2 linked regions of the Nothobranchius furzeri genome follow. The protein of the gene in region 2 interacts with the protein of the main gene of each other region in a biochemical or structural test. Links are inferred from orthologs where the notes say so. Each region holds a gene or a part of one and is shown on either strand. Other genes may lie near its edges.

Region 1 (5,362 bases), on a different chromosome or scaffold from region 2:
GGGCAGCTGTGGCTACATCGTAGCTCATCCCCACCAGTGTGTGAATGTGTGTGTGAATGTAAAGCTCTTTGGAGTCCTTACTCTGAGAGGCGCTACACAAGTGCGGGTCATTTATCATTCATCATTCGTCACAAAACGATCTAATTCATGGATTGCCCGCTTCATGATCACGTGGCGTGCGACACAGATGGATGAAAATCTACTTTTAGAGCTGGGATGTTAACTCTCACGGTGCGCAAACTCATTCCCACAATGGCAGTGATTGAGTTAAGAACTAACTTTTCTTTTGTTTTCTGTTGATAGCTATACACAAGTCATGTAAAGAGGCTTTAAAAACTCTTAAAAACTTTTGAATCCCAAGTCCCCATGTTTTATTTTTTCTATTGTATTATTTTGGACTACTCAAATATCCTGCTGCTGCCTCCCTTGGAAGTTTTGTGAACTATTATTCATTCATTTCCGCCGAAGACAAAATGCAGAAGTGTGATAAAGGTCTACAGTAGAAGTATAATCCTCCTTTGTTCATAAATTCTTGTCTAATTAATTAACCTGCAATCAAATCAGCTTATGAATATTTGAGTTGTGTGTCTTTGTTACATCATGAATGGGAAGAGGTGTGATGACTTGCAGTGACGTCGGTGTTGGACAACTTCAAAATGAAATGTGTACGTGCCCAATCTTAATCTTGTACATTAATCGTAAGACGAATGAAACACACTGTTGTTAGTTATTTTTAGTATCGTCGCTATTGTTTATATTTAAACTGTATTTAGCTCTGTTATCAGCTGGTGTCATGGGTGATTCTGCAGGTTGAGTGCTTTGCAGTCTTGTTTCTGGTTTTATTGTATTTTTGGTACTTCCTGTTTTATTTTGTGCATTCACTTCCTGTCTCATTACAGGCAGCTTCACGACATGAGGCTCCTCACTAATCTGCCTCATGTCTTGCACCTGGGTCCTGGCTTCTCCATTTAAGCATCTTTGCAACAGTTTCCTTTGCCAGTTTGTCTTCTTCAGTTGAGTACTGTGAACCTGCTCTCAGTAACACTTTGTGAGAGTGTATTTGGTTAGTTTTGGACTTGTTCAGTTGTGCTGTACTGCCAGGAATCCCTTCTGCTGATTAAAACTGTGTGAGCTCTGCATTTGAGTCCTCTTTGTGCTTTGATAGCTGGAAACCTTTATGATGGTTTTCTGATCTTTTGAATCAAAACCCTTTAGGATGTGATCAGATACTTGGAGTTGTTGGAAGTTGTGGCTCCAAACACACCCCGCATGCCTGCATGTGGAACATATGAACTGTCTCCATGCAAAATAGCAATGCAAACGTGAGTTTTGAAAAAAAAAACTAATGTTTTCATTGTTTGTCCTCTATGATTCTCTGGTGTACATATGTTGTTTTTCAGGTTTTCTGCTCCACTGTTGCATGACTTGACTGAACACTTCAATGATTATGTTTGGCAGCATTACTGAGGTATAACAACGGTTCAGTTTGGACACGGATTCTTATTTTGCTCTCTATAGTTCTGAGTAAGGTTGCAGTAGCCTTAAACCTGCTTTAAATGGAGGCCCAGTAACCTCCAAGACTTGCCACCACGTAGTTCTGTTTTCATGTCATGTGACCCATGCTGTGGTTTGTAAGCGGCTCATTTTTTCCTCCTGTTTCTGCAAGACTTCCTGTCCATCACATGAACACAGCCAGTCACCTTGAATGCGTATTTCCTGAACGTACATGCTGTGTGTAGAACCTGGCATTTTCATTACCCAGGATTAAAAATGGTGCCAGTTCCATTCAGGCTGAGGGATTTTCCGTGGATAAGTGTGGGGTTTTTACTGTCAGAGACCAAGAATTATCAGGGTTTTAAAAAATAAAAAACACCTCCAAAAATCTGTCGTTTGGAGTCTTTTCTACCGCTACAGTGCAATTACAAAGTGTCATTGGGTTTTTGCTTATGCTCCCACTTTCACTTCATCTAACTCAGTTATTTAATTATTTATTCCCATATTTGACATTTCCTGATCAGAATAAACACTTACATATGGTATATTAGTACACAGGGCCTACCAAGCGACGTGTGTTAGTTATTAGACGTGTGATGAAAGCTGTTCCTGTGCAAATGAAACTTTGCATCTCCATTTTACAACACTGAGATCAAGACAGCAAGCGCCAGGGCCCTCCTCTCTGTAACTTCTCAAATGAGGAAGTTCAGAGCAGAGCTCAAAGCTGCTTCCTTTTGCAGCTAGAAGAGGCGCAGAATGATCAAGCGCTAGAGCCGAAAGCTGAAAAGTTGCCACAGAAAAAGAAGTCTGTATTAGATTGTTTGATTTCTAAAATTTTAGAGCAGATGCTAAAAACTTGAGCTGAGGCTCTTGGATGAGTAACAGAATGCCAGGTTTTCCACCTTGGTACCATGACAGTTTAACGCGATCCAAAGCTGAGGATTTACTCTCCAAAGCAGCAAGAGATGGAAGCTTCCTAATCCGGGACAGCGAGTCTGTACAGGGAGCTTACGCCCTCTGTGTTTTGTGAGTAACTTTTATTTAATTAATAGAGATGTAGCTAATAGATTATCTCTTAACCTGATGACTCGTGTTCACAGAACACCTGTGCTGTGGGCTCTGAAGGAGGGGTGTATGGCTCCTTTACATGTTTCCTATGTTAAGCACTTTCACATCACATACACACACAAACACACACACATGTATGCATATACACACTCACACACTGGTTCCCCTTTTTTGCATCCTGTGGTGCTCAATAACTTCACCCTTTGCCTGCTGCGCCTCTTTTGTGTAAAATCATGACGTGGTGAACTTTATTTTTAAGAAGCCACTGAATGTGTTGGCTAAAGTTTCTCATCCTTCATACTGTTTGCTTTATTTCACCGACTGACATTTGCATTTTGTTGCCAACCACAGATATCAGAACTGTGTGTACACGTACAGAATCCTGCCAAACGAGGACAAGAAGCTCTCTGTTGAGGTAGGTAAACAGTCTGGCTAAAGGTCGGACGATTAAACGAACAGGATGATGTAAATGTCTATAAATAAATAAAAACAGGATCTCCGGTCTTCGGATACAACTGTTACTGTTAAACTGCAACCTATTGGACAGATGCACCAAGGTGCAATCTAGTCTTCCAAAGGTTATTAGAAGCCGTCTTTGGTTACATTTGCACTGTTGATTTTTAACAACATTAATGGTCCTCAGAGAACGAAAGCTTGAAATTACTCTCCATCAAGGGCAAAAGAGTAGAAAGATGTATTGCATGGTACCCCATTGTTCGTCATTAACTAGAAGAATAAAACTTATCTTTGAGCCGTTGTACAGATATTTTGTCGGACCATATTAGCCTCGAGGCAGTCTCTGCTCCCACATCAAACCAATCTCTCTTGGGCCCTTTGATCAGCTCCATCCAGAGGGTAATTGACTAATGACTTATGCATTTGGGAAAAGTTGGGGGGGGGGGGGGTCTGGTTGGTTGGATGTCTGGTTGGTTGGATGTACATATTATTTTGGGGTGGGATTGAGAAGGTGGCCTCTGGCTCTATGGGGCTCTGGTGCTGCTGCCATGGGCCCTGGGTAGAGAGGCCAGGGCTCTCCCCTTGGTGGATTTGGGTAAAGGGTGTGTGTTGGGGTCAGTGGGGGAGCTGCCTGGCTCAGAGGGCTTCAACACCACATTGGAGATGGTGGAAAAAGACTTGGGGTCTTTTCACGCCCCAGTTCCCTGCTCACACCCCAGAGCTGGAGGCTGGGAGTGGGAGCTGGCCATTTAATCAGCGTCTGTGATGATCTGTTGCTTTGTGACTCCGGTGGGCAGGGTGGTGTGCTCATCATCAATCCCAGATCCTGTGCTGGGTGATAGGACACCTGCTGGCTTGCTCCCCACAGCTTTTTGGTGGTCTAGGCTGTCAGCCTCTGCTAGGTCTCTGTCATGGTCTGAGCACCCAGAGTCAATGAGTCATCTGGGCCGGTGTCAGTACGGATCTGCTCGGGTGCAAGATCGGCTCGGGGTCCTTCGACTGCCGATGACGTCAAAGTTCGGCAAGCCCACTCGGACAAAATACACTACTCATCTATACTGTTGGAAAGAATTGAGCAGTTTTGTTATTAAAATAATGTTTCTTAAGACGTACGTTTGTGTTTATAATGGTATTTGTAAAATAAAACACTATATTGTATTCATAATGTTGAACTCCTCTTTGAGCACATCCCTTGAAGAATCATAGGTATTAGCAACACCTATGAAATTGTATTTGCAGGAAAGAAGTGTGTCCCGTTTATTGAAGTATTTTGTGTTTAGAGTTTTTGACATCTTGTCCATGCGTAGTTCAGGTACGCTCATAGCTGCTAGCCAAAACTCGTCTTTGTCTTCTTCTTCGTCTTCCTCCGCTTATCCGGGTCCGGGTCGCGGGGGCAGCATCCCAATTAGGGAGCTCCAGGCCGTCCTCTCCCCGGCCTTGTCCACCAGCTCCTCCGGCAGGACCCCAAGGCGTTCCCGGACCAGATTGGAGATGTAACCTCTCCAACTTGTCCTGGGTCGACCCGGGGGCCTTCTGCCGGCAGGACATGCCCGAAACACCTCCCCGGGGAGGCGTCCAGGAGGCATCCTGACCAGATGCCCAAACCACCTCAACTGGCTCCTTTCGATCCGGAGGAGCAGCGGTTCTACTCCGAGTCCCTCCCGAATGTCCGAGCTCCTCACCCTATCTCTAAGGCTGAGCCCGGCCACCCTACGGAGGAAACTCATTTCGGCCGCTTGTATCCGCGATCTCGTTCTTTCGGTCATTACCCAAAGCTCATGACCATAGGTGAGGATTGGGACGTAGATCGACCGGTAAATCGAGAGCCTGGCTTTCTGGCTCAATTCCCTCTTCCCCACGACAGATCGGCTCAGCGTCCGCATCACTGCAGATGCCGAACCAATCCGCCTGTCGATCTCCCGATCCCTCCTACCCTCACTCGTGAACAAGACCCCGAGATACTTAAACTCCTCCACTTGAGGTAGGACCTCTCCCCCGACCCGGAGGTGGCAAGCCACCCTTTTCCGGTCGAGAACCATGGTCTCAGATTTGGAGGTGCTGATCCTCATCCCAGCCGCTTCACATTCGGCCGCGAACCTACCCAGCAAGAGCTGAAGGTCAGAGCTGGATGAAGCTAGGAGGACCACATCATCCGCAAAAAGCAGAGACGAGATTCTCCTGCCACCAAACTCGACACACTCCACACCACGGCTGCGTCTAGAAATTCTGTCCATAAAAGTGATGAACAGAACCGGTGACAAAGGGCAGCCCTGGCGGAGTCCAACCCTCACTGGGAACAGGTCCGACTTACTACCGGCTATGCGGACCAAACTCACGCTCCTCT
Region 2 (5,329 bases):
TCATTAAAAAAATTAAAACACTTAAACGCAGCAGTAGAGCCCTGTGCGGGACTGTTTTCTTCACCCCGCTCCCACTGAATTTCTGACCATTACAGCCTGCAACCGCAACGTGTGTGTTACACTCCCGCCCTCACCTGCAGCGTGCATGTCTACTCCTGCCCGCAACCGCAAAACTCGGAGAAATTATTACCTCACAATAAAAGAGATGTATTGAGTTTGCGTCCTCAACATGACATTTTATAGGTTATCCGCTTTCACCGCAGCGCTGCGCTCCGTTTCAATCAGGCTGTACAGCAGGATTTCCCCTCTTAGCGATATTTTATCTAACTCTGATTGCTTCATGCTATAGATCGTTGGAAAGCTGCTTTGATGTACTTTTAGGAACCGTTGGAATTATTTGAATCTGATCAGCCATTCAAAAGTTATAAAACGGAGCATTTTGGATGACAAACTCAGCACGTCTCTGAATCTGTGTTGTGGTTTGTTGCGCTCAAGACAGGGAATCCCGGTGGCTACCATAATGTATTGTATGTGCACGAAAAGCCCCATTTTTAATCTTTTCAGCACTTTTGGAATTTTAATGATATCTTGAACTAGAGCAGGGATCGGCAACCCGCAGCTCTTCCATCCATCTGATGCGGCTCTCTGTGCTTGTAAAATAATGAATGGATATTTAAATAAAATGCTTTATATTTTACTGCATTAATTTTATATCTGTAAGTCAATTCTATGTGAAGATTGTCTGCGTAAACCTGAACAGGTCCAACCCAGTCTTACTGTGAGACCGTGTTGGGTCACGCTTGTGCGTAATCATATGCGCTCATGAGCTGAAGAGGATGTGAGATTCTGGGATTCTCCTCAGACGGCTCCTGGATGTGTCGCACATTGGAGACAGGAACAAGCGCTATTCAGCCAAAGTTTCATAATCAGGGAACATTTTCTAAGTGACAAGTCTCTCTGAGAGACAGGGTTTGGAAAACACTCGCTTCAGTGGAAGTAAGCTTCCCGCATGCGCTTCTGCGACGCTCGGATCCTGCACGTCTTTTAACACATTGGTCAGGATTGACGCACTTTGTTTTCATTTAGTTGGTTAAAAAAAAGTCGGGCTTGGGCTCGGGCCGGGCCAGAGAATCCTGAAAACCTTTTTGGGCCGGGTCGGGCTGGGGCTCCACCCCCTCGGGCCGGGCCGGACACGGGCTCAGATTTTAGGCCCGTGCAGGGCTCTACTGGGAATTTTTATTGATTTGAAGAAAGCCTTTGATACAGTCGATCACAAAATACTTTTATCAAAAATGGAGAAGTGTGGTATAAGGGAGACAGCTCTCAATTGGCTAAAAAGTTATTTGAGTAACAGAGCTCAGTATGTGCAGTTGGGCTATCACAAGTCTAGCTGTCTCGAAGTTCACTGTGGAGTTCCGCAAGGGTCGGTACTTGGCCCAAAGTTATTTCTGTTATATATAAATGATATTTACACAACTTCAAAATTATTTAAATTTATTATGTTTGCTGATGATACAAATATTTTGTGTTCAGCAGAAGATATACAGCAACTTATACTAAAGGTCCAGAATGAATTGAGTGAGCTTAAGAATTGGTTTGATAAAAACAAACTGTCGTTAAATGTCAGCAAAACAAAGTTGATGTTATTTGGAAATAAAAGAAGTAGTAAAGAAATCTATTTGACTGTTAATGAAATAGCCATTGAAAGAGTGTATGAAATTAAGTTTTTGGGGATATTGATTGATCATAAGCTCTGTTGGAAGCCATACATACAATATGTGTGTTCTAAATTAGCCAGAAGCATTGGAATAATAAATAAAACAAGATATTCTCTACCACAGAAAGCACTACACACACTTTATTGTACTATGATTCTACCATACTTATCATATTGTGTCGAAGTATGGGGCAATACTTATAAATCTAATTTATTAAAGATTTGTGTTCTCCAAAAAAGAGTGGTAAGGATAATTATAAATTCTGGATATAGAGATCATACAACTCCATTATTCTACAATTTAAGATTACTCAAATTTTTTGACTTAATTCAATTTAAAACTGTCCTTGTACCGTATAGGGCCATGATGGGTGTACTGCCGTGTAATTTGCAAAGGTTGTTTAAAACTCATGAAGAGGGTTATGAATTGAGAGGCGTTAAAAACTTCATTTTTCCATTATACCGAACAACTATGAAAAGTATGTGTGTATCTGTATGTGGTATCAAACTGTGGAACAAACTTGATGTGACTTTAAAATTATGTAAAAACATTAGATCATTTAAAATGTTGTATAAACAACTCATAATTGACTCATACGTAAATAGCAAGTGATAAAAATGGTAATTGGCTTCAAATGGAATATTTTGTTTTTGTTGTTTATTGGTTTTGTTTTCTTTTTTCTGTAGATTCATGTGAACAATTGTTTTGTAACTGTCTTTTTATGTAGCAACTAGCAAGGTGAAGATAGAACGACCTGCATAAAGAATTTTTTTTTTCTTTCAAATTTGTTAATGTGAGCAAATGTGATTTATTAACTGAATTGGGGCTGGACTAGATAAGCTTTTGCTTCTTCCAGTTCCCTCTCAAATGGTTTTATGTTATTGTATGTTTTGTATTGTTTCATTCAACAGCATATGTTTATCGTATTCCTCATTTAAAAAAAAAAAAATTTTTTTTTGTATGCACCAGGAATATGGGGGAGTGCATATGCAATTTCATGTTTTCGATGGTTTGAGATAAATAAATAAATAAAAAATAATAATAAAAATACAGGCTGGACAGTTGAAGTGTGCCACTCACTCACCCGAACAGTATAGGAAACTCCCGTGGTGCTGATCACGTTGTCAGAATGCAGCCAGCCACGGGTGGGCTTGTTGACAAAGGAGCCATGGCGCGTCCACTCGTCTCCTCCCAGCTGCCCTCCTTCCACCCGTGCCCTCCTGGACGCTCCTCCGAGCCGGTTCATGTCCTGCAGAGGAGGTCGGCGAGGGGGAGAGGGAGCAGTTAGTGTGGGAATGGGTTGATGAAGAGTAGGGGAGGAGCTAGAGTTGCTCCTATCATCTCCAGATGACTCAACAGGTGCCTGGGACTGCTGAGACCTGTTTGAGAACCTGGGCACTGGGAGAAGAGTGCCAGTGACCCCGAGACGAAGGGATCTCATACTGGGGAAGAAGGAGCAGAGGGTGGTGGGGCTGTTCTCAGCTGGGCGCGGGGAGGTGGGGGGCAAAATGGCAGTGAGAGACGAGGAGGAGAAGGAAGAAGGCAAACCAGGGGAGGGAGTCAGAGGGGTGGCGGGGCTGGATGGAGGGAACGGCGACGGAATGGAGTTGGTCTCATCTGTTGAGCTCAGCGACTCACTCCGAATGTGGGTGTACTTGGTTTTCTGCATGAGCTCCATCATGTATTATTTATAGGTCCTCTTAGGCTGCAGAGCTTCAAGCCAAGTCTTTTTGTCTCACGACTCAAAGTTTTTCTCTGGAAGGACACTCAAGTATCTGTCTGTGTAGGAGCTGCGTCCATCTGTCCGCCGCTCAGGCAGCCCGCACCAAACCGCTTCACAACTGGCTTTATCCACACTGAGAGCAGGAGGAGAGGAGGTGCTGCGGAAAGGTGGGGCCTCCTCAGCAGCGGTGGGGAGCAGATGAAAAAAGTGTTGTAGAGCACCAGAACAGCTCATGTTGTCATCAGTTTCTTTTGGTGTTTTTTGCTTTTGTTCGCCGAGTTCCCCTGAATGGACGAAAACACGTTCTCAGCTCTCCGTAGAGCGATGGTCTTCAGCCACGATGCTAAACGATTTCTCGTCCCAACTTAATCGTCTCCGAGTGCCGGACGACTATTCAGCTGTCGCCAGCACCACGACGAACCAACACAAGTGATTGTCTCTGAATGCTCCTTGTGCGTGTGTGTGTGTGTGTGTGTGTGTGTGTGTGTGTGTGTTACTGCACAAAAAGGTGTGTACATCAGTTTGTGACGCGTCTACATGGCAGTGTAAACCGAGTGTGTGTGCGTGTGTGTAGCAGCTCCCCTTTGGCAGCTCTATCACGCTTGACATAGGCCTGTAAAATTCCTATTAGCAGCCAACAAGGGGATTGCAGAAGGGGCTGCACACGCTAACACAGCAGCAACACATAAAACACAACCTCGGCTGGTCGATAATACAGCGAACACCTGCAGAGCCACGGAAGAAGAGAGAGGAGGCTCTCAAACTCTGCAGTCGTGCAGTCGCTTCAACTTTTCACGACTATTCTTAAATCTGGCTCCCCTTTCTACTCCCTCTCCCCCTTCGTCCAGATGCTTTCATGTCCTCTCTGAATGGCCCTTGCTCTCTCCCTCCCAACGTCTCCTTCTTCTCTCCTCTTCCAGATCACTTCTGGTGAAGACTCCCTTCCCTTCTCTGAGCTCTTCCCTCCCTTCTCTCTTTCTCCTCTCTTATCCTGGAAGTCCTCTCTCTTCCTCCACACGATGTACTCTGCCAGCCTCTGCTTCTCCAACGCCTCCGCCCTCTCCCGTGCCACCACTTCCTCTCTCCTCTTCCAAACGATCTCTCGGTCCCCCTCTCCCCCTCCCTCGATTGCTCGCCCGTTCTCCAGGCTGCCTTGTTTAACAGTCCCACACTTGTATGCTAAATACTGAGCCCTGTCGTTGCGCCTCTTTACGTTAAGGACCGCGGATGGCTAGAGGCTAGACATGTTGGCTTTAGACGCCGATATAAAACCAAAAGAAAGTGAAAAGTTAGTAATTAAGACTGGGCTTAGAGCTGAGCCCGTTCCTGACTGAGGTTCCTGAAATGGCCTGCCTTGGTTCGTGTGTTCTGTAGAACTGGCCACCTTGGTCACGGTGTGTTTTGTTGCTGGAGCACCATTTGATCGTGGTAAAGTTGAGTCTGAGATGTCTGTCTGGTACAGCGAGACACACTGCAGTAGCACAGTGGTGATGTAACACGGCAGAATGTAGGTCATAGGATGACGATGACTACCGGTGGGCCTGTTGAGACGATAACAAGCCCTGATTGGTCAGGCTTGGACCCCCAACTTAGGGTTCCCTGAATGGAGACCCACTGGTGTTGTAAATGAACCCGCTGGGTTAAGACTGCACTCAGCTCCTGACTCGGTACTAGCATGGACACAGATTATAGTTGTTTACCTGAGAGAACAGTATTGACACCGATATGAACGAATCGCCGTGCTATAATCCAGAACAGCGTCCCTATTTTTCTAAGGCTTATCAAGCAAGTTAAGCCCACAAGCATCTCATATTCTGCATAGTCCAATCTAAAGTACAGTCTGTTTTATTAATAGTCTCCAAAGTGACCTCAGTAGGAGGCAAGGCCA

What was found.
Region 1: the proteins of shc1 (region 2) and inpp5d form a complex in vitro, tested with the Homo sapiens proteins (2 studies listed by BioGRID and IntAct, with this or other methods). The link is inferred for Nothobranchius furzeri from reciprocal best matches to the Homo sapiens genes SHC1 and INPP5D.

What each region holds. Positions count from the first base shown.
Region 1 is NC_091756.1:60,958,020-60,963,381, forward strand, and holds the start of inpp5d (phosphatidylinositol 3,4,5-trisphosphate 5-phosphatase 1), read left to right. Parts: upstream 1-2,243; 5' UTR 2,244-2,368; coding exon 2,369-2,520; intron 2,521-2,913; coding exon 2,914-2,977; intron 2,978-5,362. UniProt on the Homo sapiens protein: Phosphatidylinositol (PtdIns) phosphatase that specifically hydrolyzes the 5-phosphate of phosphatidylinositol-3,4,5-trisphosphate (PtdIns(3,4,5)P3) to produce PtdIns(3,4)P2, thereby negatively regulating the PI3K (phosphoinositide 3-kinase) pathways.
Region 2 is NC_091745.1:78,656,922-78,662,250, reverse strand, and holds the start of shc1 (SHC-transforming protein 1), read right to left. Parts: upstream 3,618-5,329; 5' UTR 3,400-3,617; coding exon 2,803-3,399; intron 1-2,802. UniProt on the Homo sapiens protein: Signaling adapter that couples activated growth factor receptors to signaling pathways. Participates in a signaling cascade initiated by activated KIT and KITLG/SCF.